Linked DNA regions of Diceros bicornis minor. The main gene of each other region encodes a partner of the protein of the gene in region 3 in a complex. Links are inferred from orthologs where the notes say so. Each region holds a gene or a part of one and is shown on either strand. Other genes may lie near its edges. The genes, in order: MZT1, TUBGCP3, TUBGCP6 and TUBGCP5.

What was found.
Region 1: the proteins of TUBGCP6 (region 3) and MZT1 are in contact, whole or in part, in a crystal structure (PDB 6M33), measured with the Homo sapiens proteins. The link is inferred for Diceros bicornis minor from reciprocal best matches to the Homo sapiens genes TUBGCP6 and MZT1. Residues at the interface, in NP_065194.3 of Homo sapiens: Met1, Ala2, Ile4, Leu7, Phe8, Asp10, Leu11, Cys12, Ala14, Leu15, Pro17, Ala33, Leu37, Val40, Ala41, Ala44, Leu45, Asn48, Ile70, Leu73, Lys85, Arg88, Leu89, Leu92, Val93, Glu95, Leu96, Leu104, Leu105, Ser109; in NP_001065243.1 of Homo sapiens: Asn17, Ala20, Val21, Thr24, Val27, Leu28, Glu30, Ile31, Ser32, Ile34, Leu35, Asn36, Thr37, Leu39, Glu42, Thr43, Leu44, Ile46, Cys47, Arg49, Leu50, Cys51, Glu52, Gln53, Ile55, Asn56, Pro57, Glu58, Ala59, Leu60.
Region 2: the proteins of TUBGCP6 (region 3) and TUBGCP3 are in contact, whole or in part, in a cryo-EM structure (PDB 6X0U), measured with the Homo sapiens proteins. The link is inferred for Diceros bicornis minor from reciprocal best matches to the Homo sapiens genes TUBGCP6 and TUBGCP3. Residues at the interface, in NP_065194.3 of Homo sapiens: Pro65, Arg67, Asn68, Leu71, Met72, Ser74, Phe75, Asp76, Arg78, Asp87, Glu90, Asp151; in NP_006313.1 of Homo sapiens: Pro9, Asn10, Val11, Leu13, Gln14, Glu25, Ala26, Ala29, Gln30, Phe32, Gln33, Val36, Arg37, Ile39, Gly40, Ser41, Phe43, Thr129.
Region 4: the proteins of TUBGCP6 (region 3) and TUBGCP5 are in contact, whole or in part, in a cryo-EM structure (PDB 7QJE), measured with the Homo sapiens proteins. The link is inferred for Diceros bicornis minor from reciprocal best matches to the Homo sapiens genes TUBGCP6 and TUBGCP5. Residues at the interface, in NP_065194.3 of Homo sapiens: Glu290, Ala291, Ser292, Lys293, Arg294, Arg295, Cys296, Trp297, Glu298, Arg299, Val300, Gly301, Cys302, Pro303, Pro304, His306, Arg307, Glu308, Glu309, Pro310, Tyr311, Leu312, Glu314, Lys322, Arg325, Leu326; in NP_443135.3 of Homo sapiens: Asp211, Asp212, Arg213, Trp215, Leu216, His219, Val220, Val221, His222, Trp225, Ser230, Phe232, Pro233, His234, Leu238, His239, Ser240, Asn241, Leu242, Leu264, Val265, Thr266, Glu267, Thr268, Gln269, Arg272, Val302, Thr303, His304, Leu305.

The regions. Positions count from the first base shown.
Region 1 is NC_080748.1:52,856,985-52,864,865, forward strand, and holds the start of MZT1 (mitotic-spindle organizing protein 1), read right to left. Parts: upstream 3,012-7,881; 5' UTR 2,960-3,011; coding exon 2,887-2,959; intron 1-2,886. UniProt on the Homo sapiens protein: Required for the recruitment and the assembly of the gamma-tubulin ring complex (gTuRC) at the centrosome.
Region 2 is NC_080748.1:86,404,544-86,411,921, forward strand, and holds the start of TUBGCP3 (gamma-tubulin complex component 3), read right to left. Parts: upstream 3,007-7,378; 5' UTR 2,875-3,006; coding exon 2,799-2,874; intron 1-2,798. UniProt on the Homo sapiens protein: Component of the gamma-tubulin ring complex (gTuRC) which mediates microtubule nucleation.
Region 3 is NC_080764.1:562,538-569,904, reverse strand, and holds the start of TUBGCP6 (gamma-tubulin complex component 6), read right to left. Parts: upstream 3,007-7,367; 5' UTR 2,729-3,006; coding exon 1,988-2,728; intron 835-1,987; coding exon 671-834; intron 1-670. Other genes in the region: polyamine deacetylase HDAC10, read right to left, coding at 3,252-3,773, 3,873-4,055, 4,258-4,336, 4,617-4,673, 4,817-4,908, 5,297-5,381, 5,503-5,913, 5,987-6,093 and 5 more. UniProt on the Homo sapiens protein: Component of the gamma-tubulin ring complex (gTuRC) which mediates microtubule nucleation.
Region 4 is NC_080744.1:72,501,679-72,508,941, forward strand, and holds the start of TUBGCP5 (gamma-tubulin complex component 5), read left to right. Parts: upstream 1-4,251; 5' UTR 4,252-4,271; coding exon 4,272-4,417; intron 4,418-6,570; coding exon 6,571-6,624; intron 6,625-6,738; coding exon 6,739-6,847; intron 6,848-7,263. UniProt on the Homo sapiens protein: Component of the gamma-tubulin ring complex (gTuRC) which mediates microtubule nucleation.

The DNA.
Region 1 (7,881 bases), on a different chromosome or scaffold from region 3:
GTCCACTGCTTCCTCCCCTGTCTTTATCAAAATCCTTTCAATTCACAATAAAATTACAAATATTTGTAGCTGAGTTCTACAATCCTTGCAAATCACTGACACCCATTAAAAGATTAAATCACTGTTAGCTGACTCTAATACTGACAGGAGAGAGGTGGTAAGAGGATGAGGAGAAATAGACTAGATCTTGAAGGAGGGGAGTCAGACTCAACAAGCTTTGAACACTTCAGTTAGGCTCTCATGGATAGTGAAACCCCTCATTAACAGAATTTCAAAAATAATTGTGTTTGAGTAGGTCAGCCCAGCCCCTTGGGCAAGCTAAAGTTTTATTTCTGGGAATGAGGGTGGAGGAAGGTGGGATTATAAAAGACTGCATTTAGGCCTTTTTCAGTTGAGTGTATGGTCAATTATTTACAGTGCAAGTGTCACTGTTTCCCTTTGTGCCTGAATCATTATTGACAGTATGAAAAATAGTCATTAACTTAGCAATAATTTCACTTCACATTTTACGTGACTGTCTTGGACCCGATTATGGCATGATAGCAGGGATTTTCTGTAAGTTTACAGTTCTAATGGACACAACAGTATTTGGCAGCCACATTTAACAAGGCTGAGGGCCGGGCCCATGGCTTAGCGGTTAAGTGCGCGCGCTCCACTACTGGCGGCCCGGGGTTCAGATCCCGGGCGTGCACCGACGCACCACTTCTCCAGCCATGCTGAGGCCGCATCCACATACTAGAAGAATGTGCAACTATAACATACAACTACCTACTGGGCTTTGGGGGAAAAAAAAAGGAGGAGGATTGGCAATAGATGTTAGCTCAGAGCTGGTCTTCCTCAGCAAAAAAAAGAAAGAAAAAAGAGGAGGATTAGCATGGATGTTAGCTCAGGGATGATCTTCCTCACAAAAAAAAAAAAAAAAAAACAACAACAAAGGCTGATCCGCTGCCTACTTGGGGCTTTCTTTTTACCTTCTGGTGTGTGGCCAAACTGCATGCAGAGGAACAGTGTTCTCTAATCCACACATTCTCTCCTCCAATTTTTGCTTTTTTAAAAATATCTGGCATTTCTTCACTTTTTCATGTTCTTACACTCTCTAAAATCTTTATTTTACACACAGTTCTCTCAGTAAAAATCTTGATGATGGAACCAATACAAACTATCAGTTCTCATTTCTACATCAGTAGTTCCAACAGAGATAAAACGCTGAGTTTTCTATTCAAATAGGATCCTGTGGCCGTAGACAATAATGCTGTATACATATAGCTTCTCTGTACATAAATCCACTTACAGGGCTGGCCTGTGGCTGAGCGGTTAAGTGCGCGCGCTCTGCTACTGGCGGCCCCGGGATCGGGTGCACATCAACGCACCGCTTCTCTGGCCATGCTGAGGCCGCGTCCCACATACAGCAACTAGAAGGATGTGCAGCTATGACATACAACTATCTACTGAGGCTTTGGGGGAAAAAAATAAAATTAAAATAAAAGAAAAATCCACTTACAAAACAAAATTAATAAGTTTTGATACATCAAGAAGGATGGGAAATAGGCTGAATATGATGTTAAGAACAAAATTCTATTTTTCAGAAAAACTGCAAGGAAGATACTTGGTAAGTAAAAAATTAGATGCAAAGGCTCTAATAATATAAGTAATTCTGTGAAAAGGAAAGCAGCAGCCAGTGCAGAAAAAGCCAGAAGCCTTATCAGAAATCTCTATAAAGAAGGGTTATATTAGGCAGTGGAGCCTACAGTGAAGGAGACAGAGGTAGGATATGTAGGCCAATACTGCTTAGCGAGAATTCCATGGGGTTATGTTTTAACAGAGATAGAGGGTGATGTGGGTATCCCCTGGAAAATGCAAAAAGCAATGTCTAACATCCATCAAACACATATATACATAGATGCGAATAAAACAGAGACAAAGGAGTCTGTAAGCGGGATGCCATTTTAACACAAAAATAATACAGTAACTATCTTTTAATGATCACGTTCAATATGCCTTTACCTAGTTATCTTATTTAAACACTCACGATAACCCTAGGAGGCAGTAACGTCATTCTACACACACACACACACGCAGCAGACTTAAAGATGTTTAAGCAGTTTGTCCAAGTTCACCACTAGAGGTACAAAGTGGCAGAGCCCGCATTAGAGCTTAGAGAGAGGGTAACTCCAAGACGCTCAGTTCGTCTTCTACCACCTGTGTGTCGGCTTTAAGCCGCACGCCTCGGGGCGCGAAGACAGAGAAATACACTACCGGCCCCGGACACCGGCGTCACCCGCTCCATGACGAAAGTGGGGCGATTCTGATGAAGGGGCGACTCGTTCATTCACCGAATGCTTAAAAAGCGCCTACTAAAATGCAAAGGACAAAGAATGTAGCGGTGACCGAAGAGACACGGCCACGGTGCGCACAGGCTGACAGTCTGGAGGCCTTCCACGGCGCGCCCCGCTCGCGACTAAGAGGAAGGGACTCACTGGGCGCGCCGCGCAGGCTCTGGCGCGGCAGGAGACGGGTGGGGTGGGCGCGGCGCGCGGGGCTGGGCAGCGAGGGAAGGACGCGAGGACCCGGCGCGGGAGAGGGGCGTGGCGCGCGGGGAGGGGGCGCGGGCGGCGCGCGGGGGTCCGGCGTGGGACGGACGGGGCACGCGCCGGGCTGACGTGGAGGCCCAACGCCGTGCACGCGACAAACTACGCAGGAGCGAAGAGACAACTCTCCAAAGATGGAGACACCAGCCCTGCGGCCCCGGCGGATCGCCTGGGAAGCTCTTCAAAGATGCCGTTGGGGGCAGGAACTGGACCTAAAGTCCTGCTGGGCTCACCCCCGCCTGGGGGCCTTGGCTCTGGGAAACGGAAGCGAGGTAAAGGGGGCGAAACGGGCACTCACCGTCCATGGTCTCCCTGACCGCGTTCAGATTCGCCGCCGCCGTCGCTGCCCCGGCGCCGCCACTACTCGCCATGGCGGAGGCCGAGGGAGGTGGGAGAAGGGCCTGACCCGGAACTGGAGCGCCTTCCTTTCTCCTGGGCAATCACACCGCGCGTCCCCCGCTCACGCCGGGCAGGCTCCGCCCCTCGCGCTCGTCGCCGGCGTGAGGCTGCGTTGATTTGAATTTGGAGCCTCGTTACTCTGCGCGGAATGTGAAGCGAGGAGTTGCCATTCGAATTTGCTACGCGGCCTCAATGCGATTGGCTGGTTCGCGGACAGCGGTGCGATGCGATTGGCCAGTCGCCCACAAGCCCCGTGCCCTGGTTGGCCTAAGACAGCGCGGAAGCGGGGAGTTAAAGAGTCTGCCTGTCGTGGGAGCTGGTCTGGCCCCTCGGGAGCGCCCTGGAGTCGCTTTGGGGGGCTTCCTTTTTATACACACCACTAGGTACGTTCTTTGTAGTTCTTGGCCTTTCTTGCTGTCTCGAATTGGAGCGCTTCACGTTTCCCGGCTCCGACCTGCCTGCCCGCTCGCCCCGGGGTGAATGGGAGCAGCGAGGGAGTAGGTGCGGAAGAAAGGGGTGCCAAGAAAGAGTGATCGCGTAGGGTTGGGGGTGACACCGGCATGAGTGTCCTCCTCTGCTCTTCTTCCCGAAGCCAGCTGCACTTCAGCGTTCCAAGAAGTGGATTTTTTTTCTCTAGTTGTAGCGCCCTGTTGACTGAAAGTAAAGCAGTCTTGCCTTCAATCCTGGGGGTCTTAGCGAAAGGAGGCTGTCTGAGGCGAGGCAACTAAAGGGGGTTAATTTCCTAGCCTCAGTCAATCGTACTTCTCTGACCCGGGCTGATGTGCAAGTAAGGCACCCGTGCACAAGCTTTCTTGTCTCTCATTTGCTTGCTACAAATACTTGTTGTTTAGTAACTGCAGTTTGATAGGGAATTGCTGGGTTGTCTGAATGATGTTCAAGTGTTTAGAGACTTGAGATAATGAATAAAAACACTATAGGTATAAGTCCTTTAGTTGGAAAAGGATTTGTGCTTGTAGTAGCATTTAGTTGCCTCGAAGGCGGACGTGAACTCAGTCATGCTTGGTCAACTGTTGCTTAAAAGCCACTTCTCTGAGCTCGTTAATTCTTCTGCAAAATGGTATCACTAATACATTTCCTTTCTAGCTTTCAAGGTTATCTAGAGGATCTCTTGAGAAAATGTATGTGATGCTTTTTGTAAATTATAAAAAAGCCCAAGAAGTTAGGTTTTGAGTTCATGCTTTTGTGAAATATATGTTTGTTGAATATATTTTAATTGTCAAAATGAATGTCTATGGAACTTTGTAGTTCTATTATACATACTTCTGATTTCCTTTTAGTTTTTTGTCTGTGCTATGGGAGATGTCAAAGAATCAAAAATGCAAATAACACCGGAAACTCCAGGAAGGATCCCTGTTTTAAACCCTTTCGAAAGTCCTGGTGATTATTCTAATCTCCATGAACAAACTCTCTCCAGTCCTTCTGTTTTTAAATCAACAAAATTACCAGTAAGTTATGCTTGACTAGTGTTTAAAAATAATTTTAAATGTAATATCTTTCTTTACAAGGTAGAGGGGAAATTTATCATGGAACATATATATCTGGAATGTGCTTTTTAAATTGTTCTTTATAGTGTAGTGGTTGGGCTAAAAATAAGTTAGCTAGAAGATTTTTTTTAGTTAGCATTTCTCTCTTTTTTTTTTAATTTAATAGATAATATGTTAGTTTCCTGCAACTGTGGATGTACCTGGATACTATGGTTGATGATATGTCTACAAATACCATATTAGAAAATAAGCCATGTCATCTAATTATCTATTCTCATTTACTCAGCAAACATTTGAATGCTGCTGTGTGTCAAATACAGTGCTAGGCATAGAGGTTATACCTTGAACAGTCCAGGTCATTAGACACAAACTCTCAAGAAACTTATACTCTAATGCAGGAGTCAGCAAACTTTTTCTGTCAAGGGCCAGACAGTAAATATTTTAGGCTTTGCGAGTCATCTCGTTGATGTACAAATACTCACCTCTGCCTTGTATCACAAAAGCAGCCATAGACAAAATAAACGTGGCTGTGCTCCAAGAAAGCTGTTTTTTGTGGACACTGAAGTTTGAATCTCATGTAATTTTCACATGTCATGAAATGCTAATATTCTTTTGGGATTTTGTTAACCATTCTTAGCTTGCAGAGTGTGTGAAAAGAAGCCAGTCTCTACTCTAATGGGATAGACACAACTAAACTAGTGACCACAGAATATGATAGGTGCCATGGTTAAGCAATGGTTAAGCATAAGAGTGACATGGAAGGGAAGGTGCTCTTGAGGGGATTAGGGAAGCCTTCATCACTTGAGCTTATTCTTACTGTTATGGGCTACATTGGAGAAGTTCTTTGGAAGTCTGATCTTTTAACCTAGTAAATTATCTACAAACTGGGTGGCTCTTTATGCTACACTTTCACATCAGCTTGAGCAGGTATGCACTAGAGGAAAGTTTTACAGTTACACAGTTTCTGTTTAGTCATTAATCTCACCTTATGATTTTTAATTGAATCATATAAATTTTAATCAGTCTTAATAAAAATAATTGAAGGACGGCAACTTAATCCTCAAGGCCAGAATGATTGGCCTCTGGGGTTTTTAAGCCTGAATTTGTCAAAAATATATTCTGAATTACAGATTAGCATTTGAATAAGTTTTTGGTTTAGTTGGATAATTGAATGCGAAAGGGCAGTGCTAGTTGCCATTCGTAATTATTTCAAGGATCAACTATTTAAGAGCTTTTGCTGGCACTTTTGTAGTTAGAACTTTGTTTAATTTCAGTTCATTTTTAGTGAAAGTAAAGACTTTTGATAACTCTAGGAGATTCTTACTTGGGCATGTTACATCACTGATGAGTGTTAATTGTGGAATTTCTATACCTTTAATGCTCTACTGTAATTTTTCTATTACTATGTAAAAAATCACCCAGAGGGAAGAGTTGGATATTTTTAAAGAGATACAGTCAAGTCAGTTGATTCAGTGTGATTTGATTACCATTTGCCTTTTAATTTAGTGGTGAAGTCAAATTTTAAAATATGATCTGTAAGATATTTTTATATTGTAACCATTTACATTATTTTTGAAGCTGATGTTGGTTAGCATTTTAATGAACTATGTTAGTTTGCTTTTACTCATAAGCTCACTTTTTTTCCTTAAGACTCCAGGGAAATTTAGATGGTCTATTGATCAACTAGCTGTAATAAATCCTGTAGAAATAGACCCAGAAGACATTCATCGTCAAGCTTTATACTTAAGTCATTCTCGGTAAGTTTTCCTTTCTTGCACGTAAGTGTAATAACCCACTCTCAAGTGAAGAGAGAGAGGAAATTCCAGAGTGAATATTTTTATATGTAAAGATATCAGGGAAGAAAAATAATGATACAGATTTATCCTATGTAACTGAAGAACTGTATCCAGAAAGATTTCCTCACTGACAGTTCCAAATCTGGGTAGGAGTTGTTTTCTTTTAGAGATAACCTTCCTCTGCTGCTTATGGGACAACTCTCCCTCCCCAGCATTGGTAGAGGGAGGGCATTTTGAAATTTGTACGTTTCTACCTAATTGAGGCTTCTGCCATTGAATTTTTGTTTTGTTTTCTTTTTTGGTGGTGTAGGGTAAAGCAAAATGCTATTTCATTGTCATCTATGTTTAGGGAAGCCAAAAATCCCCTTACCAAATTAAGACACATTGAATGGAAGGGTATCCATTAACAACAGAGAGAGCTTTTCTAGACATCATCCAACTTTGATGTGGGACACTTGGGGATCTGAATTACATTGTCTTGAATTCACCTAGTAATCAGAGCAGCCTTAACTTCTTTGTTAATGTGTCGTGTAGGTTTCCGACTACTAATGTGCCTCAGACTTGTGCTGCTTACTGATGCCTAATGTAGTGAGACCATGCACTTCTTTGGTGGAACAGACCTAGTTTTTGATTACAAATTGCAGTATTCTGTAATTACAAATTACTGATAGCAGTATTCATTAATAGTTCGAGGGACTCTTTTGTTGATGTCAGTTTTATAGTCTGATTTTTTTATATTTGAAAAAATATCACATACTGGCATGACCAGCTTTTAATTTTCAGTCCTAAGGTACATATGTTGTCAGTTCAAAATAATAGATAATCCTTTTCCCTTTAACTTTAGAATTCAATCACGCAAAGATGCGCACATGTTGAAATGCTCTTGCAAATATTTGTCTGGCTCTTCTATCCCTTCCTCTCTTGGCTTGGTAACCTGATGACCATTCCCTCATAATTAGTTAATGTTCCTCCAAAGTGTTGTAGAAAGGGAATAGAATGGAGATAGAGCATAAAAAGATTTTAACTTAAATCTAAATAATACCTTTGAAAAAGAAGGTGAAAAATAATATCTAAAAGCAAATGAGTCACAAATGAGACTAATTTTTTATCTCACACAAACTGTGTGCTTTATTTTGCCTCTTCTCTTCAGTATATTCAACTCTGGGCAACTATTATCTATCAGTCAAGAGATATTTGTTGAGCACTATGAGGCACTGTGAGGAACACTGAAGAAGGATAGAATGTTATTCCTGCCCTCTAGAGTCAACAATACAATTAAGCAAAGTTGTGACACAACATTTGTATAGTTGTTAATAAATGATGTATTGTCTGGGTAGGCTTATGAAAAGAATCTTGGTGTATTTCAATTGATATATTTATAATATAGGAGAGGGGAAAAGAGTGGGAAAAGACCCTAATTTTAATGTAATTTACTAATGTAATACAGTGAATGGTTATGGCTTCTACCAAGGGTAGTGAGTATACTCTTAAAACATGTTGAATCATTTTTAGAAACAAGCACTTGCTTCCGATGTCTCTTCCTGCCTAATCCGAGTTCCCTATTTCAGTGTTTCTGACCCTTTTCATGCCATG
Region 2 (7,378 bases), on a different chromosome or scaffold from region 3:
ACAAACACATTAAGTACAACTTTCAAATGAAGCCTAAAACTCTGAAATTTCAATATACATATTAATAGACATTTGGTGAACAGTTTAACATACATTTAATATAATTTTTAATGTATACTTAATATACATTGATTTTCCCAAGCATATAATCCAGGGAAGACCATACTTTATTCAAAACTTCATCAAGAGCTCTTCACCATTTCGGAAAATCATGAAACCAACAGCAACACCATGTGTGGCCCAAGAATCAGCACACAACACTTCTTTATCTGTCTACACATGGCTCACAGTGCACTCACGGTGGTGTTACAGATTAGGGCAATCACCTTACTTTAGTATGTAGTGTACTTAGTCACACCTAAGCATTTGTGTTGAAATATTTACTAATAAAAACTCCCTTATTTCTTCTTTATCTCATAATTAAAAAGAGGGTTACAAGGTATGAAAAGGAACGCTGCCTCTGACAAGAGTTAAAACACTATAAGATCACGCACATCATTTCCAAAGACAAATAATGACTATCCAAAGATATAATAAGCAAAATGTGCTCCAGGAGAGAGGCAGAGACATGGAGAGAGAATTCTCCTGCCACTGGTGGACAGTTGTGGTTCAAGCAAATTCACAGGTGTTATAAGATGGAAAAGGTGGAATAATGGTTATACTAACTTTAGAAAAATGTCAAGCACCACTACCATTAGGTGCTTTGCTTCGAAGGTCCCTTGAAGCCAACCGTAAAATTTTTTTTAAAAGGTTCTTTATGAAAAATTGATTCATATGAAATTCACATTAAAAGTAACGTGTCTATTATGCCTCAATTTCATAGTATTAGAAAAGCAATATATTACAAAAGCATAACAGCAACTGTTTGTAACATGTCATTAAAAAATGAAGTAATTAACCAAAGGTTCTACTTAGTTATCAGATAAAATACCCACTAATGAAAAAAAAAATTTTTCAAATGTCAAACACTGTAAAGGCAGCAATTTATATTGCTCCTTTGCCCACTAAGGTGGAACAAATTAAAACAAGGCAAGCTATTAAATAGTTGTAAATTCTTTTGTAAATAGTAGCATAATTTGGAATTATGAATATAATAACTGTTTGGCAATCCTAGCTGTCCAGAACAAAGAGAGCATTGTCGTTAATGGATTTTATAATATATTTTACTCCGAGAGGATCCCCTCAGGATCTCACAGAGAGCCTGCCCACTCTTAATTTAGACACAATTCCAAATGGAGAGCCAGGAGGGTGCAGAACTTTGCTGAAGAGACATTTCAACCTCCTGGAAGCAGTGAAACTAAGTCAATCGAAAGGAGCTGCAAATATAAAATTTGTTTCAACTGAGAAACATCATGGTACCTCACAATGAATGGCCTTCCAAGTCCAGCTGTGACAATGGGAACGTATGTGGTTTATCCCTGGAGGAAAACCGCGGACCCACCGGTCTAATGAAAACACTGACATTAAAGTGAGCGAGTCATAACCAACAACCTTAGCTCTTGGGTTTCTCCCATGACTCGGAACATCAAATCAGAATGTAACTCCCAGTGCAGAGAGACACATAGAGAAGAGCTGGAGACAAACGCAGAAGACAGCAGACCAAGCTCGCACCCACCCCAAGACCTTTGCACCCTCCACCCGGAGCTCTCCCCAGATGCTCACAGGGCCCTCCCTCACTCCATTCATGTCCTCGGAGGCTTTCCCTCACCTCTTCCCTCGACATCCCTTTACTTTATTTTTCATCACAGCACTGATCACTAATGAACATTATACGTTTACCTATTTTATCACGTCTCCTCCACTAGAATCTAAGATCTACGGGAGGAACGACCTGTCGGCATAGCTCTGCATCACCAGCACCTAACACGGTACCTGGAGTGCGCTGGGGTGGGAGCAAAAATGTCTTAGATGAGTAAAGTGACACTGAAACTTTATGAAACGCAGCAAGAACTGCGTGAAGGCAGTGGCACTGAATAGACTGACAGAAAACTTCACTTTTTGCCCCTAAGGTTATCATAGAACATCAAACAACTGATGTCAGCTAATTGCCATGAATCCTGAAGGCCAAAGTGTAGTCCCAATACTTTAGATGTAATTTTGTTTAAGGTCTTCCCACAACAACTGAACAGTTTCTTCTCCACGTTACGGTGCTTCAGGAATAAGTAACCCAGTTGCCTCCATTATTCCTTCGCGCTGCATCCCCACTACTCCCTCCCTCCCACCAAAACGACACACTGTGCCATTTTCACAAGCACCACGACCACAGAATGGCTTTCCACACCGTGCAGGACTGGGTTTGGGAGCAGTGTTCCCTACGTAAACTCCCCAAAAACAGTTCCATATCAAATTCAACCCTCAGCCCCTTACAGAAAAATACGGCAGGTGACAGCCGTCGGCACCCCCTTCGCTCCGCCTCAAAGCTGCCACCTCCGCTAAGGGCCAGGGCCCCTGACGCGGCTCGGCCCCGCCGGCGCCCCCTGCGCGCGGCCACAGACGCGTGACCGGCCAGGCCGCCGCTCTCCCCACCCCGGTGAGCGCGCAAGCGCCCGCCGTGCGGGGACTCAGACAAGGGGCGCGTCCGCGAGCCGTCCTCGCGGGCGCCACTCCGGCCCCGGCGCGGGGAGCGGTGACTCAGCCGGCCGGGCCCTGCCCTCCGCCCTCGCCCGGGGCCGCAGCTCCGCGACCGCCGCGCCCCTCGCCGCCCCGGGGACGCTCTCGCCCCGGGGACGCCGCCGAGCCGCACGCGCGGGGAGCGGCCTGCGAGACCCGAGCCGGCCCCGAGCCGGCCCCGCCGCTACCTTCGCTCCGGCCCAGGATCCGGCAGCACAGGCTCTGCAGCAGGACGTTGGGCGACTTCTGGTCGGGGGTCGCCATCCTCGCCCGGGACTGCCCGCGGAGCCCCCGGCCCTCGCCCGCCTGCCCGAGCCCGCCGCGCTCCGGAGACCCCGCCGCCCGGGCTCCCGCGTCCCCGACAGGCTAAGGCCCCGCGGCCACCGCCGGCGACCAGGGCGCCATTTTAACGGAACCCGCCGAAACCGCGGGCTCTTCCCACAAGGCGCCGCTTCTTCCGGGCGCTCGGGGCCGCGGGTGCGCCGGCCTAAGGGTTCCCCCCGACCACCGCCGGCGGGGTAGGAAGGTTCCGGCACCGAGCGCGCTGGGCCTCGCTGCTCATCGCCTCCCGGTAGTCAGACCCTCAGACGTCCCCAGAGGGTCAGGACGCCTCAGACCTCTAAACGTCCCCAGACGTCCCCAGAGGGTCAGGACAGCTCAGACCCCCAGACGTCCCCAGAGTGTCAGGACAGCTCAGACCCTCAAATGTCCCCAAACGTCCCCGAGAGCAGGACGACCACTGACTTGCTGTGGGAGTGCTTGGTGCCCAGCAGCGCATCCATAGTCCCTACTTTTTTAAAAACGTCATCGGTTCTTGTCACACTTTCAGTGGAAGAAGACTGTGTAAAGGAGTACAAGAATTTTACGATTTTACATCTGGTCGAGCGTGACACCTGCACATCATCCAGCTTTCCAGAAGTGTGTTGTGGCTGCTCACCATCTCAGAGCCCGTCCCCACCTGATCCCAGGTGACCAGTACAGTCATGAGAGACAAGTCAGATGAAGAGTGAGAGAGGGGAGAGGCCTGAAAAGGAGGAATAACAGGCAGTTAGGACAAGTCACTCTCCACGAACTTATAGACGTGTCACATGAGTGTGCGGAGAAGCCGGGTGCTGAGAATGGCCCAGTCCAGGGCCAGATGAGCCAGTCCACACATCGGCTGGTCAGAGTTATGGGATCCCGGCAACCAGGAGTATACTGTTCAAGTCAGTAGATTAGACCAAGGGCGAGTAGTTGTCTCACGCTGGACCAACCTAAGTTTCTTTCCAGGGAATTTGGAATTAAGATCAAAAGAATTTGTATTTTCCAGTGGCCTGAACTATAACACAGAAAAACAGGCAACTTCCAACAACCAAGTAAGCAGAGAAAAAGCCACCCCTCCCCTCCACAGGGTCAGAGGAGAACCCAAGCCTTACAAACAAGACCACCCTGCTAGCACTCGGGCTGTCAAATGGGCCTTAATGGGAGCCTACGGAGGAAGGGCCAAGGCCCTAAAGGAACACTATTCATCTGATGGCACATTTTAACACCTGCCTTGCATCGTTTGAGTTCTAGGAATAGGAAAACCATAAGAGTCACAAGACAAAGGCCAAAAGAGTGTCTGAGTGAGGCAACTGGAGGCCAGGACTTCACACCAAGAGCAGAACCGCAGCTTCAGACTGCAGCATCCACAGCTCTCCTCCTTCCCAGCCGTCCTGCTGTGCTTGCCCAGGCTTTCGAGGTCATGGAGCCCCAGCCGCAGTCTTGCAACGTCACAGGGTGCAAAGACAGCAAGCGGCACAGAGAGGGAAGGCGATTAGAGAACACAAGGCCCAGCACAGTGGGCGATGTGCTCATGTGTCCTTACAACCAGCTCCTGTCACTGAAACTTACCTGCGTGTGCCTTTGCTCTTCTGATCTAAAGATGGAAATAAAATAACTAAAATACACAGTGGGCATGTAACAGGATGTAGAGAAGGACTCGTCCAAGAATTGGCAACTAGATACAAAACTGAGGACACTACATTTTAAAGAAAGCCATAGAAAGTGGGAGGCAGACACTGCCTCGGGGTCTGTTAGGACGCAGCCACGCTGGCGTTGCTAATTCTCCAACCATCACTCCCATTCCTGAAAGTCCATCTACAGCTGCTCAGTGACCGTGGGGAAGGAGGGCGTTCTGGAGGTCCTGAGACAATTTTAGGGACATCAGGACCTACCCTGCCCGGAACCGTGCAGAGGTGAGCCCCCTGCATGGAACCCGCAGGAAAAGTCATGCATGTGCTCCACAAGAGGGTTGGCCTGGGACACCTGCCACAGAGATGGCATTGACGGCCACTCAAGGTTAACCAGAAAGTGAGGACTACTGACAGAGGCCACGGTCTCGTGCCAAGTTAATTAAAAGATTTTTAACCTCTGTCCCTAATCCTTCCATTGTGACTCAAATTAAGAGAGTTAAAATTAGTAATGGGAGGTGGAGGAAAATAGAAGGGCAACTGATGTCCCCTCCCTTCTTCAGATACATTAGGCTGATGAGGTCTGGGTGCACAGGAATGAGGAAAAGTCATGAGCTGTAGATTGGATCTGGCACAAACGCCTTGAATTTGCCTGGTGATAAATAAATGACAAGCAGCAGGATATACTGGAGTATATGAGGAAGCCATCTGGTGTAAAAGGAATTCAGCTTGATCTTGTTTTTCCAAAACGGCCTGACTGACCCTTGAGCATGCATTGTATATCTGCTTTAAATATTTACTATGCCCAAAGGCAAGAACAATACCCTTAAGATAAAGTAACTTCCCCCACATCAGCATTTCTTTAAGGATAAGTATCTCTCTCTCTAGGCTAGGGATTGATTGCTGACCTGCCATGACCACCCAGCTTGAGACCACAGACCTGCTACCTGCTGTGTTCGTCAATTGCTATGTGAATCGCTGTGCCAGGTAGGTAGGCTAGGCAGTCACGTGACTGCTGTAAAAGGGACATTCCAATCATATGTGATACATGCTCTTTGACGGTATATAACCTCTCTGTACACCCCACTTCTTTGACGCCCTTCCTTCCTTGGGGAAGGAAGGCCCCAGGCTAGTTCTTAGATCTGGCTCGTAATAAACTCACCCCAATTTTGATTTATAGATTGATTATGGATTATTTGCATCAACACTGGACAGAATTTTTTTCAAAACCAAATATGACTAAAAGGCCGTGGGTCTGCCTGAGATGTCACTACAGACGAGAAGTGGAGAATCTACCTGGCCTACTTGGGGAAACGTAACTGGCAAAAAATAAAAACTTTTCAGAAGTCTAACCCCTAAAATTAGACTTCTTAAAAACAGGTCCCATATGCTATAGTAGAGGAAATAGCTATGGGGTAGTGTTCTACATTTCTTGCCCCCAATAAACTGTGCCTCCCAGAATTCTCACCTTTTATAATCCCCTTCCCCTTGCCTTGGAAGATCTCTGACTTGCTTTAGCTAGTAGGATGCTGTGGGAGAGCCGCTGTGCTGGTTCCCAGCCTCAGCCTCTGGAAGGCCTGACAGGTTCCTCCTAGCACTCTTGGGAGCGTTGAGCCTCCATGTTAAAAGTCCAGCTACCCCACAGGAAAGATCATGGAGAGAGGCCACATGGAAAGGGAAAGATCCTGAGACCCCATGAAATGAGAGAGAGGGGCCCAGCTATTCCATTATCCCAGCCCCCAGCCGACCCTCCAGCTAAATGCAGCCACACAAGAGAGAAACTGCAAAGCAAGCAGAACGCGCACTGAGTCCAGCCCAGGTTGCAGAATTGTTACCAAATAAAATGTTCATTGTTCTCAGCCCTCAAGTTTGGGGATGATTTGTTACACAACAGGTAACTAGTACAAATTACCTTTGCCTGGTGGGGTTCAAGCATGGCTCCATGGAGGACATGCCCATCGTTTGCCTATTTGCTCTCAGATCCATTACCTGCCCTTCCCTGATCTGCCCTACATCCTAGAGAAGGCTGTGATGCGAACTCCCTGGACGACTGGCAGGTTCAGCAGATGGGAGTCACTGGTAGAAACTGGAGGTCAGGAGGAGACAACCAAAGTTATCGCCTCACAGCATTCTGCTTCTCACTTTGCCTATGACGGTAACTGAGTATCCCTCTTGGCAACATCTCCACCAGTCAGCCCCCTCTTTCGTGGTTCCAACCTCCTCTGTACAACTCTCATCATGGATCTCACTCCCATTGGAAGGTTTCAGAATGTGGGATACAGTAACATCAGTCTTCTTGCTGTCTCTTCAGCCCTGTGAAAAGTAGCCACTTTCTGCACTTGTTAATCTCCTAGTCCTCACCAGCTGCTTCAACCACCCACGTAAATAATTCCCTGTATTAAATCCCCCATGTTGAAGTTGCTAGAGTGGTTTCTGTTTTGCAGAGTGGTGCTTACTATACAGTCCTTGCTAACAGGACTGATCCCAGGGGAGAGAGCCTCAGATGGGATTCCAGGATTTGGTTACTCACATGTCTGAGCTGCAGTACACTGAGATCTTTTTGACGGTGGAATCCATGGCACGTTGGAGCACCAAAATGGCTCACATTACCACATGCAGCTGCGTGGGACAAAGCGCTGGCTGAGAGCCTAACCTGGGACACTGAGTAGCTGCTGTGGTCGGGTGCGTTGGTAGCGATGATAACTGCAAAGACTGTAGAGTGGGATGGACTCTACCAAAGGGCATTCAGAAAGCTCGAGTCTTTACATTTCTAGCTTAAGGTATGGCCATAGAACCAGAGAGCTCCTATAGCCACCCTAAAAGGAATCTCTTCTTGT
Region 3 (7,367 bases):
CGTTCTTTCATTCACTGCTCCCCAAACTGGTGTTCCACAGAACTGCCAGCAGGTGGGCTGTGACAAAGGGGTCCCATGACCAAACACCTGGAAACGTATGTCATGTGTCCTCTATCCCCATTCTGGAGGTTTCAAGAGACAGCAGCACATCACAGACTCTGGGAGGTCCTGAGTGCAGAGGCCTGTGGGCCGGACGAGCCCAGGGAGCGAGCTGCCGGCACCATCAGGGAAACAGCCATGACTGGAGCCTCTCGTCAGCTGGAGAGCGCCACTCTCAATCCTTCTAGATGCATACAGCAGTATGAAGGCTCCGTCAGCACCCTGAGCCTGGCACTGATCACACAGCCTGCCAGACCGCCCTCAGACCCCTGACCGGGAGCCCTCAGGGCAAGAACGTAACTCAGTTGCCAACTGACCGCTCTGATGGCAAGTGTGGTTTGCAGAAGTCACTGGCATAGCGGGAGCCCCCAAAAAGCCTGGAAGTCCTTTCCCCTCTGCGTTTCTCTCGACACCCAGGACACAGACCATTTTGTACACTAGCTTGACTGAAACTTCCAAGTTCCTAGCCCCTTCACAGCTGTTCTAGAAACAACCGCCTGGGCTCTCTGAGAAAAGGCACTGTTCCACGTGGGGGGAAGGGCAGTGTACTGAAAAGCAGAGGCTCCCGTACCATCCAACTTGCTCCCAGCACCTCCGCTTGCTGGCCTCGTAGGTGAGCACAGCGTCCCACAGGTCGATGTCTGGAGTCATGCCTGGTTCAGACTGGGAATCGGGAGTTAAATTGGATGCTGACTGGAACCCTTCATCTTCTGACTGATCCACACTCTGAGGAACCTGGAGACCATGGGAAAGAAGGAAATAGCACGTATGCCTGAGTCTAAATGTCCCCCAAGTGTGATCAGAATTCCAGGACTTTTCCACACACGTGTTTACTCCTTACAGGAAAGACCTTGTAGAACGTTTCTATTTTTCTCAAGCAGGTATGTACTACACAATGTTTTTGCCCCCACTGAATCGTTTAAGAAGTTAAACAAATTAATTTATTAAGGTTATCGATTTCCAATTTCACACAACACATAACCCTCAATATAACTTACAATGAAATTTTTCCTGAAATGCCTCCAATCTGGAAATTCCACTTTGGGGAATACAGCACACACAAAAAAATCATACTAGACACACAAAAATTTATACACACCAAGATGTTCGCTATAGCATTATTTATGTTTGGAAATAACTAAATATCTCATAGTAAGGGAACGACTAATAACAGCGCATCCTTCCAGCAACATTTATAAAGCCACAAAATACAAAAGCCAATCATGATTTATTTAATAATGCAGGCAAAATCCCATTTATAGGTGAAAAAAAGTATATAAAACTGCATGTAGAGAATGAACAAATATTTTTTGCCACATGTGGCTACTGAGCACTTGAAATGTGACTTATGTGACTGAGGAACTAAACTTTATTTCATTTTAATTAACTTAAATTCAAAAGTCAACTCTAGGGCCGGCCCCGTGGCTTAGCGGTTAAGTGCGCGCGCTCGGCTGCTGGCCGCCCGGGGTTCGGACCCCGGGCGCGCACTGCCGCACCGCTTCTCCAGCCATGCTGAGGCCGCGTCCCACATACAGCACCTGGAAGGATGTGCAGCTGTGACATACAACTATCTACTGGGGCTTTGGGGGAAAAATAAATAAATAAATAAAATTATAAAAAAAAAACAAAAACAAAAGTCAACTCTAGAGGGCAGAGTAAGTGACTAAATACGCCGTGATAGACGAAAGATGAAAAGCAGCCTGCTGTCTTGGTGTGCAGGTTGGCAGCAGCGTCGCCACCCAGGAAGGCGCATTCCAGCAGCCCTGCCTCCCCACAGCTCAGCCACAAGTGGCTTGAGAGCTATCCTACCTTTACCATGACCAAAGGAAGGTCAAAGGAGGCATTTCCAAACGCCTGAGGAGCCAGAGGCGGGAAAGCATCACTCTACCTTAATAGCCAGTCCAGAGAGGTCTGCGCTGTCTGGCACCGGGGGCAGGTCCAGGCGGACATCCATGTCGTATGTACGGCTGTGCACAAGGGCACCGAACAGCGAGACCCGGGTGTCTCTCTCAAACCTGTCACCACAAGGGTCACCATACGAGAAGAGCCCAACAGTGGGCAGGCCAGTGCCCGGCGCCGCCTCCATCACCTGAAGCGCTTTGTGGATCATGTCCTGACATAGATACTCCTCTCTGGAGATCAGAGACTGAACGTCCATCTCAAACACACTCAGGTCGTAGCAGTCGTAGCCGCTGTAGGGAACGTTTCTCCCAACGTACTTGTTGTTAAAGAAGTAGTCCCGCTTTCGCGGCAGCACTCGCGGGGGGCCACTCCCTGCCAGCTGAACCAGGAGGTCCAAAACAGAGCCCACCTCCGCAAGCGGACAGCAAGGGCCTGCTTCCAGCTCCTCCACCAGCTCCTCCAAACGGTCAGCCTCGGGGCCCAGGCCACCCACCCTCAAGTCGAAGGACAGCATGAGGATCTTGTTTTTCACCGGGAGTTTTGAGGGGTCAGGCTGCAGCCTCTGCGTCTCATCTTGAAACAGACTGGTGAAGAGAGCGTTGTAGGCCACCCTCTTGAGGCTCTGCTTCGCCCTCCTTCGGCTCACGCCGCGCTGGCCCAAGCGAGCCTTCGCGACCGGCAGGAGGGCCTCGCACAGGTCGTCGAACAGCTGGGTGATGCTGGCCATGCCCACCCTCTCGGCTCCGGGCACCTCGTGCCGCTCGGCGCCCCCTGCCCTGCGGCCGCAGAGCCCGGCTCGGCGCGGTCCCCCGGTCCGGGCCCTCAAGCCGCAGGATCCCGGCGCGGGACGAGCCCGAGGACACGCTAGCGTGGGCGCACACGGCACACGTGCGGCTCCGCGGCCTTCCCGTGTCCCCGGGAGGGACGGCGAAGCAGGCGCCGCCCAAGGGGCAGTGGGGGCGGCCGGCAGGGTCCGCGGGGTCAGGCGCACGAGCCCCGCTCACAGCCTCCCGGGAAGAGCGCGCTCCCGCTCCTGCCGCCGCCGTCGCGTCACCGCGACGCGACCGGCCAGACCGTCGGAGCCGGCGCGCCGGAACTGCGTCACCGGGGAGCCGGCGGGGCGCGGAGGGGCAGGAGTGGAGCTGCCGTCCAGGGAGCGCTTCCGGCTGGGAGTCTCGGACCCGCGGCGGGGAAACTGAGGCCGGCGCGGGCTGAACCAAGCAGACGGAGTCAGGCTTTTGCCTAACTATTTATTGCCGGGGCGTGGGGGGCAGGGCGGGCCGTCCGCGCAGGGCGGCGGGGGCGCCGAGTGGACGCAGGGCCGGTCGGGACACGGCCGCGGGCGAGCCGTGCCGGTGACGGTTAACCGGCCCTGGGGGCCAGGTGGTGGTGTCCGTCCCGGGGTGTAAAGACTTCCACCCCGGCCGACGCCAAGCTCCCAGGTCACAGCACTGGAGGAGGAGCTGGGAAGAGGTGGAGGGTCCCCTGGCACTGCCGTGAGCGGTTCCGGGCAGCACCCCACTACCCAAGGGGCAGTCTCCCCGCAGAGCTCTAAAGCAGGATGTCCCCAAGGCCCCAAGCATCCAGCCTGAGCCTTGCCCCGTAGCCTCACCGGCCACCTGCAGCATTTTCCACTGCGGCCCCAGCTGCCCTCTCAGGTGCTCCAGGGCCTGCATGTCCTCTGGGGAGGCCCTGGAGAAGGGGCCCAGGCTGGGGGGGGCCTCTCCACGGAGCACCCGGACCAGGACCCCTGCAAGCTGGGGTGTGGATTCCTGGGCCAGGGGCAGAGGTGGAAGCAGAGAGTCACTGGTCTCTCCCGACCTCCTAACCCTAACCCTAACCCCCCAGCATGTCCCCTCTGCCCAACTCACCTCCTCCACCAGTACCAACACTCGGCCCCCTGCTGGTCCCCGCAGCAGTGCAGCCAGGAGTGCAGCTTGGGGGTTCTGCAGGCCATGGGCTGGCCCCAGTGCCACCAGCACCAGGTCAGGCTGGAAGCCATAGGCCAGGGGCAGCACCAGGGCTAGGACACAGCTCAGGAACCCACCAGTTGTCTGTGGGAGGGACAGGAGCATGGCCCCAGCCCCTCATTCAGGGGATACCCCTCCTGCCAGCTCAGGCCACCCCACCTCCCAATCTTTGGTGGGCAACTACACCAGCAGTCCCATCAGGAAGCCAGGAAGGAAGCCAGGGGCCTGGCCCTCATGACGATTCCAGTAAGCAGCAGCTGCCCTGCCCTGTGACATCACCACTCACCTCTGGTAGTGGCATGGAGACGTGGAACATGGACAGGGCAGCTGCCTCCTTGCCCCTGATATTCAGCCATAGATTCCTTCTTCCAGGGGAGAGTGAGCACATGGACACGTGTGCATGTGTGTGAGACGCTGCTCACCCTCCAGAACCCAGACTTCAGAAGGGGAGGTAGAGAGCTTGGGGGGGACAGGTGCTAGGACTGCTGACCCTCTATAGTGGAGACTCTCCTGGCATTGCTCCCAAGGGCCCCTCTACCAAATTCTAGCTGTAGAAGACTCCCCCCACCCATCACGCCTGGGGCCCCAGGGTCATGTGCCCACTCACAGGCAGGATTGGACATACACATGACCCAGGAGTCATACCCATCATCGGCAAGGTCTAGGGGCCGATCCAGCTGTCCCACAGCCACACAGAGCAGCCTAGAGGAAGAGTCGGCCCCAGGACAGGCTGCACTCACCCCTCCTGGAGTCCATTCCCAGAGCCCTCCCCATGTGGCTAGCCAGGGCAGGAGATGCCCTTGGGCCATTCCCTCAGAGGCTCAGGCTGGCCAGGTGAGGCTCACCTCTGGGCTCCATGAGACAGGCCACACCGAATGGCCACATCCAGGGTGGCAGCTGCAGCAGGGGCCGGGGTGGCTGCGATGCCGCTGCTCACCTGTGGAGTGAATAACAGCAGTGGAGGGCAATTCCCAAAAAGGTAAACAGACCCGAACATCCCTTCTTTGGCCCTTGTCCACGTGGCTGTCATCTGTATACACTGAAGTCAAATTGTTCTACTTTTGAAAATAAGATGTTTAAAACCACACCTTAAGTCACCCCCTTCACCGTTCTGCCAAAGAGTATTTAGTTGAGGGAACTGAGGAGGGGTGCTCAAGAACCCCGTCCCTGGGGGCTATTCTAGGAGGGGTCCTGGGCACAAGGCCACACTCGTGTCGTGGTTCTGCACCACCCAGTCCTCCCCTGGACAGGCCACCCATCACGGGTAGGTCCTGGGCCCTGCCCCTGGCTCCACAGCCACCCCCGCCCCTCCCAGGTGCCCCCACCTGCCCATCCAGGATCCCATCCAAGAGATACAGGACCTTCCCGAGTGCAGTGAGGGCCTTGTCCTGGGCCAAGGCCTCATGTGGCCTGTGGTGGGCAAACCAGAGGGACACATGGACATAGGGTGACACATAGACCACAGGTGAGTCACACACAGGCATATGGGTGGACACAGCCTCACCCCTCTCCCCAGGCCCACTCTGCCCACCTGGCCCAGACCTGCGTCTCCTCCTGCGGGGCTGACCCCTCCTGATGGAGGACATCAGGGGGCAGGAGCAGTGCTGCATCCAGCGCAGTCAGGGCAACAGCTGTGCGGACGGAGGGCGTGGGGTGGAGGCGCAGCTGGTCCAGGAGGGAGCTCAATGCAGCCACGGCCTGGGCCGCTGCTGCCTTGAATTCGGGCCCGCCAGGCAACAGAGGTGAGAGCCTCCCCTCTGGGGAGCCGGTGCTGGGACTCAGTACAGGGGCCACATCTAGAGGTGGTTCAGAGTTACTGCCGCTTACTGGGAGCCCGAGGTGTGATCCCACCTCCCAGCCCAGGCCACAATGACCTTGCTCCTGGAGGCTCATCCAGTGAGGAGCCTGGGCTGCCCGGACACTCTGGATGGACTCCAGGGCGCTGCAGGGACAGGCAGGAGTAGTGAGGCCTGGCCTCATGCCCCCAGCCCTTCCCACCCTCCTGCCCCTCGCACCTGCGATGCGGCTCCATGCACCCTGACAGGGGTGGGACAGGGTCACCCAGCAGTGCCTGTACCATCATGCACACCGACTGAGAGAGCGACTCCAGGTGGTAGCCACCCTGGAAGGTGGAGGAGGGCAGAGATGTGACTGGGGAAGGGGGTCATTGGGGCAGGATGTTGCCATCCCAGGCAGGACGCCATACCCATGCAGCAGACCCCCTCTGACTGCTCCTCAGCCTCTGGCCCGTGCACCCTCCCTGCTCGCCGCAGTCACCTCCAGCACGGCACAGACCCGGCCGCCAGCCAGCACCTGCAGCAGCTGCGTGAGGTGGGCAAAGCACTCTGGCGTGGCCTGCATCTGCCCCTGGAATCAGAGCCACTGTGAAGGGGGCCTGGCCCGGGACCCCAGGAGCCCTCCCCAGCCAGGCTAGGCCCTCACCTCGGGATCCCCAACCGCTGAGTCAAATCCTGCTGCGACTAGCACCAGCTCAGGGTCAAACTGTGGGCAGGGCCGGTGGAGAGGAGCAGGAAAGAGGCTGGAGCAGGGACAGAGGAGGCCCCTCCAGAGAGACCCTCCCCACCCACCTGGGCTTTGTTCCACTCTGATGGAGTTGACAGGACTCTGGGCACCGAATACCCCATCTCACCCTCCTGCCATCGAGACCACCCCAACGCCCCACGCAGTCACCTCAAAGGCCAGGGGGAGCAGCACGTGCAGGAAGGCAGCCACGTAGTCAGCATTTCCCATCCCAACCTGCGGCCACAGGGTGTCAGTGTTGGGCCTCGCCAGGGGGATGTGGGGTCTTCACCCCTGGGGCCTGGCCTCTGGGGGTGACCCTGGCAGGATGCCTGGGCTCCACTCAGGAGGCCCGGAGCTGTGGGGCAGGGGAGGTGGGCTGGGGGAGGGGCAGGCACCTGGTTCCAGGGCAGGTTGACAGTGAAGCCGCGGCCCTGCCCCTGCCCGACAGCATCTGCATCTGATTCGCGCAGACAGGGCCAGAAGCGCCCGTGTTCGTAGCGGTGCCAGGAGAAGTAAAGGACGCTGTGACAGCCAGCCGGGGTCAGAGGTCAGAGATCAGGACCCTTAGCTCCACAGCTCCTCAAAGAACCCTGATCCCTAAGCACACGGCCACGTCTCCCCCGTCAGATTTTCTGAGACCAGGCTGAGCACTCCAAAGAGTTGCGTCGCATGGAAGGGTCTTGTCCCCATCCCTAGCTCACCTGGGGTCGTCCTCAAAGATATACTGGATGCCCTGGCCATGGTGGATGTCCCAGTCGACAATGAGGATCCTGGGGACAGACAGCGCTGGGGTCACTGAGGGGTGGGGCCTCCCACCTCCAGGCCAGGAGCCTGGCACAGGATGGGAAGGGGCTGGGTGGGGTCTCCTAGCAG
Region 4 (7,263 bases), on a different chromosome or scaffold from region 3:
GAGAAGGATCAATAAACCAATGAGTTTTCAGTAGCTCCTACTGCTTACCTGTAGCTGAAAGTCACCCAATTCAGGAGAATACAGCCTAAGGGGTTTCAGGTGGGGATCCAATTAGTGTTTCTCATTGTTTCAGAATTTAGACATGACTGGTCAAAAGTATATTTATGTTCCAGCTAGAATCAGCTTGCGAAAGTTTAAAGCATCCCTAAAATCAAGACCCTTACAATGAAGGCCCAGCCAAGGCTTTCTTCAAATAGCCAGTGTAATTCCCCTGAGGCTGACGGCTGTTTGGTAGGACTCTTAGTCACAAACAGGAGTGCAACCTGCCTTTCTGTCTATCTCTGACGGCAAAATGAGGTGCACCCTATTCTCGTCCGTCCATATTTTGGGATCCCCCCACAACCTGAAAATTATCAAGCCAAGCTCTCAGGACACAAAACAAGCTTGGTAAGATTCTGCTTTTCTCTGTAAACATTTACACCTTTTGGAAACTTTTGGTGGAAAGGTGGAGCTCTCGACTCTTTAAAGATTAAAGATTTTTTCTTGTTCCTTGGTTTGGTGGCTCAAAAAGAGCCCAAAATGGCCATTGTAATTTTAAATTATCCTGGGTTTTTTTTGCCAGCTGTTTATAGTTATCTCCCTTTTGGGGCTTTTATCAAGGTGGCCTCAACCAAAAAGGTCTGATAGTGAGCTAGTGGGAGCAGTTCTCTCAAGAATAATCAAGGGGTTGGCTCTTTCCCTTATGTGTCCCGGCACCCACAAAGTTCAGGTGATTTAAGCTCCAGATGAGCTGCCACTGCCAACTGCCTCACCACTAACAATGAGGGCCCATTAAGATATACTCTTCAGGAGGAGTCCCTGTGAGGCCGTTGCACGTCATGGGCAGACACCCCGACACCTCTATAAAGTCCCCAGTCACCTGAGAACATCCTGAAGGACCAGAGGGAACAATGCCTCTTTCCTTCTGAGTCAGAAGACCCTCATAAGATTAGTCTAAAAGGAAGTTTATTATGATCACCGAGAAACTCAGTCCCCAAGCAGCCAATTTCAACAAATAACAGTCAGACACAGACAAACATGAACAGACACCAAAATCCAGCATTCTGGGACTCTAACCCAGGGTACTCTGGGACTCTGATCCAGAGCTCGGGACTCGAACCCGATCCTTTTGAGTGCCTCAGCAGCTGTAACCTTTATATTGTCTCTCACATCCTAGCCTTGGGACTTTAACCCAGCAACCTAATCTCACCAGTGGGGCCTCTAACCCACTATCCTGGTGAGATATTAGACAATTAGGCACAGGCACATTTCAACAACGTCACTCACCCGAACCCAAAAGACGTCTGATCCTGGAGCTCTTTACACAGACACAGACACAGACACCATTGAAACCAGTTCCTAGATTCTGGGTGAAGTCCTATTCCTCTTCCCACTCTGGTAGGGCACCCTATTAACTAGATGGTCCCCCTTCTCAAAGAGGGGACACCGGATGGAGCGGAAGGAAAGTTCTCGGTGGTGGACCCCCGAGGTGACTCACCCTACTTCAGATGTGAGCCCATCAACCCACCAGATGTAGCCATTTCTCTTCCTACCACATCAGCGTTAGGAGGCAGCTGGCATCAGCACGGGAGAGCAGGTATGGCAGATCCCCGAGACAAAGAGAGCCTCAGCAGCCACTAGGGACTTACCCAACAGGCCGCCTATCCGAGGTCAGCTGGCCACGAGCAGGACTTCATGTCCCATCTGGGTCGCCAAATTGTTACCCCCCAATGTGGGGCCTTCTGCTCACCACAAGACATGCCAATAGTCAAGAAGCAAGATGGTAGGAGAAAAAGGACTTTTTTATTACAGCTTGCTAGCAAGAGGGAAGACGGCCAACTCATGTCCAAAAGAACCATCTTAAGGGGGCACAAAATCTTACAGCAGTTATACAGGCCATTGGGTTATTGGGGACGGGGTTAGGAATGTTGACCTTCTGGTGTTACAGACTGGGAGTGTCACACTAGATCTTTCAGTTTTCACTGATGATGGCTATCAGCATAGATTCTCTGTTTGGGGGTCATCACATTCCTAAGGAACTCAAAAAAACAAAGTTATCATCTTATCACAGCTGGGAAGTACATGCACAAGCAGGGGTGGTAAAATCTACAGAGCAGTTAGATCTCCTGGAGGGTACAAATCCAGCTGGGTTAGTTTGTCAGAGGTCGTTCAAAGTTACAACAGGGTTTTTCTTTTCTACAGTATGGCTTCTCTTATGTCAACCTTGTCTCGAGCTGGTATCAAAGGGAAGGATATTACACCTCCTCCAAATTTTTTAAGTCCCCTCCAGAAGCCAAGACAGACTTGCCCTGGCATGTAGGTCTGTGGTAGGCATTTCCAGACTGGCATAGTCCCATGTGTGGCACATTCAACAGAGACACCCCTTAAATATTTCTAAGTCCCTCCAAGGGGACATTGGGACAGGCTGGATAAGGAAGCTGGGGATGTCTCCTTTGGCCAGGCTGCAGTTGTGCATGGGGCCTGGTTTTTGCATGCACGTCCAGAAAATTTATCCAAGGCCCATTTTGGAGGGCTGCACTGGCCCTGGCCAGCAAGGGACACATACCAGTGTACCAGACCTGTTTGCCATCCTGTTTTCATACGTACTTCCCAAAAATGTTTCTGCATCCCCTGTAGAGGGGGTGACCATCTGGGGCCAAACTTAGAGGCCCACAGAAGGTGTCTCAGGCCTAACAGTGTTTTGAATGTGGCTCGGTCATCAGAGGCACCTCTGGAAAATTCCTCCAACTCCCCATTCCAGATAGGGACACTGGCCCAGTCCAGCCAGGGAGGCCCAGGAGAGTGGCTCAGCCCCCAGTAAGTCCAAGTCATTGGGAGTGCCCTATGGAAAGTTTTCTAAATCTCCATCCAGAGGCCAAAACCTAGCAGCTGGACAGGGAGGTAGAGGAGACACATGTGCACATATACTTTGATTTTTGGAGATGTACAACAAGAAATTACAGATTTGGGGTGCTAAAAAATATGTGAGCTGCATATACAGATTTGAGAGTTATAAACATACAGATGATAGTTGACACTGGAGAAGAAAAGATCGCCCAGGGAGAGTATAAATTCCGTTCCGTAGACTCATTTCACTGCATGATTTTCTCCTTATGGTATTTGTGCAATCATATGCAGTCTACGTATTAGGGAGGTGCTGTGGTCTGAATGTTTGTGTCCCCCCAAAATTTGTATATTGAAATCGTAATGACCAATGTAATGGTTTTAGGAGCTTGGGCCCTTGGGAGGTGCTTAGGTCATGAGGGTGGTGCCATCATGATTGAGATTAGTGTCCTTATGAAACAGGCCCCAGTGAGCTCCCTTGTCCCTTCCACCATGTGAGGACACAACCAGAAGTCTTCCTGGAAGACGGCCCTCACCCAACCAAGCTGGCACCCTGATCTCAAATTCCAGAATCCGGAATTGTGAGAAATAAATTTCTGTTGTTTATAAGCCACCCAGTCTGTGGTATTTTGTTATAGCACTCCAAACGGACCAAGACAGTGGTCTATCAGCTATCTGTTACTACAGTAAAGCAATGTAATAAAACACACGAAAATCTAGTAGATCTCTAAAAGAAAAAAAATTAAAGAGGTCTATGTAACAGGTTTCAGAATGGTTATGAGCAATATGTAACGGAAACAGTTTAAAGGCACAGTTTGAATTGGCCGACACTCCACTTTGGCCGACAGCGTTTATACCCTCACAAGCCAGGGAGAGCAGGAGGCGCAGCGCTCACCTGTGTGCCGGACAACCCGCTTCGCTAACGCCTGCTGAGCTGTGGACCATATAGTACCGCCTGTGTAGACAGAGGGGAACTGAGAGATCATTAGAGATTACCTCTAGAAGTAAAGTGAAGCTTGGAGCAGGATGGACAAGTAACCAGTCATGGTACCTGAAAACGCAGGTGGAAAACAGACACACTGAATGAGAATGAACTGGATGCTCTCAAAACATCACAAATCAAGCCATCAATTAAGGTTAGCCAGAGACTATTATTAATATGATTAAAAATCATGGGTAGCCCTTTGAGGACGCTCCTAAATTTACTCAGATAAGACTGGAAACGGGACACTCAAGCCGCCAACCAGGATCAGCGCCAAGACTAAACGCGGCGGGAGCTCGAACTCTCGCGACAGCGGCCGCAGCCTCTCTGAGGCGCAACGCGGCAGGAGCGCGAACTCTCGCGAGAGCGGGCGCCAGCCAGCGGAGGGCGGCGGGAGCGGAGAGGCATGGCGCGGCCGGAGCCGCTCTGGAGCCGGCTGGACAGACAGCAGGAGCGCGACGTGCGGGAGCTCATCCGCCGGGTGGCAGGCCTGCGGGACGAGGCGGACCCCAACTTCCAGCTCGCCCTGCACTTCGCCTGGTCCAACTTCAGGTGGGGGGCGCGGCGCCGGGCTCGCGCCTGGGACGGGAAGGGGTCAGGCGGGGCTGGGAGAGCGGCCGACCCTCGCAGAGCCCCCGCGTCCACTGCTGCCGCTGCAGCTCGGGGCCCTAGTGCCCCTGGGTCCCGACGCGGGTGGCACGCGTGCTGAAGCAGTGGGTTGTGGGTCGTTGGAGGTCAGCCTCCTGCCTTGGAAGCGCGTTCCTGGGGAGGGTCTGTCTGTCCTGGTCCCCGCCCCACCCACCGCACCTAGCGAGTACACTGCGCTCCACACGGCTGTGAATGGTTGTGTAAGTGAAGTTCTAGAGCACAATAGTGAGTGGTCACACGTATCTAAAACTGTATTCCCACCGGCTCCCTCACCCTGCTCGGGCCGCTCCACATCTCCCTTACCCTGCTTTCCTCTTTCTTTTTCCGTGATGTATGGCATCACACATGGGCTAACTTATCTGTTGTTTACTGTATATCTCCTCGCCCCCACCTCCAGGTAGAATGCAAGTTCCGCCAGCGTAGGGGTCTTGGTCTGTTTTGTTCATTTCTTATCCCAGCACCTAGAACAGTTCCTGGCACAGAGTACACTAAGCTGCCTGATATAGCTTCTAATACAGTTTCTCATGTAATTAATTTTTTAAAATTTATCTAGTTTACCTACTTAGGTGAAGTCAGAGCTCCCATTTTTCTTTATGGAACATGTAAATTAGACGAGACTGTTATGATCTTTACCTGTAATGGAATTATTACTAAAAGAATGTTAGTGTTAATATTCTACCTATTTCAGTAGAAATCTTGAATAGTGAACAGTTTTTCAAAATCTATAATTTTGATTATCAAACAATGATCATACATAAAACGCCTACTTGGTTTATAATGAGAATAAACAATGAGTCTAAAAGCCCACCAAGTTTCTGAAATAATAAACTCAGTTCTTAAATGTAACTGTGTCTGACTAGGTCATATAAGACAGAGAAATTTAAATGCTGTATCCCAAATAATTTATTAATATTTATAAATCGCAGTAGGTAGATGGACATCACTTTAGAGTTGCGAGAAACAGTAGAAGTCAGTATTTCCTTTTACACATTGAAAAACTAAATTGTAGTAGGTAAAGTGATGTTCCACTCAGCCATTTACTGGGATAGAATTAGATAGATTATTTAATTTATTTATTATTTATTTATTAGTGTAATTTACTTCTTTTAAGTACAGATTGTTGGCGTTGATACTAAAAAATGGAAAATAAAAGTTGAGTGAGCTATACTATAATTTTATGATGCTTTAATCTATCAGAAAAATGAACAATTCATGTTTGCTTTTTTAAAAATTGTGAACATGTTCTACACCCTGGAATTCAGAGATAAGTGACATGTAGCTTCCATCCTTAAAGAACACAGACAAAAGTTAATTACGTATGATGTAGACTAGTTCTTAACCTGAGAGCCTGACGATAGAATTTAGGTGTTCTGAATTTGGACAAGAAAATAATTACACTAACCTCTAAATAAAAAGTAGCATTTCCTTCAATCATGAATGAAAGCAACAAGCAGTATTAGCTTACTTATGACTATGTCACTGGTAGAAATCATGTATTTCACATCATATTATAGTTGCATATATTTCTAAGTATTGTTTGCTGTTACTTTATGGTAGTTATAGACCCATGCTAGATCTTGTTATTTAATGCTTTAATAAAGAAATATGTCTGTTACTATATCACAAACTTTTAAAAATACTATATTTCAGTATACTTAGTTTCCTTTGTATTTCATTTTATGATTTAAAAACATTATTCTGAGAAGGGGTCCCTAGGCTTCGCTGGGCTTCACTGTGGCATAAACAGATTAGGAACCCCTGATATAGAATGTGCTCTGCTGAACTTAGACACAGGGCATTATGGGAAGACAAAGGAGCCAGAGGACAGGATTGGGGAAGCTCAGGATGATGATCTGTGTCTTGCGGAAAGGGTACTTGAGGAGTCTCTGAGATGCACTTCTTGTTTGCCTGGATGGTAGAAGTGATGCAGGCAGAGAGATGCACTCCTGGAAATGTATAGCTGAGTATAGGGGGTCTAGGGCGACGTGGAGAGCTGTGAGACTAGCCTACTTAGCTGTATGACAAAATTAATATAACAATCGCATTTTCTCTTTTAGATTTCATAATTTCTTGGATGTCAACAGCCACAAAGTAGAAAAGACAATAGAAGGGTAAGGCAGTTGTATGTGTATGTATGTAAGTGTATATTCAGAAATAAATATGTTTTCTTATAGGTTTTTTATTAATATAGCTTTATAACAGTTGATTTTTTTAATGTATTTTAGAATTTATGAAAAATTCATCATTCATTCTGATCTCAGCAAAGCTGCTAGTTGGAAGAGATTAACTGAGGAATTTCTAAATGCATCACTTCCGAGCATAAAGGAAATAAAGGTATGCATTATATTGTGAGGTCTCTGTTGTGTATTTTACCATTTCCAATCTGATTGTTTTCAGTTTGTTTCTGTTAATATTTAAACATTCTACTTTAGTCTTGTCCACTGTCTAGAGCAGAATCTCCTGGAAATTGACTTAAGTATGCCATCAAATCCAGTGTGCCTCTGGCTTGTGAGGAAAGAAAAAGCATGTGCTTGTTTAATCATCTTAACCTACTATGAAAATTCAGATCAGAGATTGGCACAAATAATAGCACCGTCTGGCTATCCTAAAATTTTTGGATGGCTTCTCAGCACATGGTAATAATAACTACCTATATAATGCTTGCTAGATGCCAGGTGCTGTTCCAAGCACTTTTATATTCAGTCATGGGTCCCCAAGCCCACCCTTAGGCTTGATGATTTGCTAGAAGG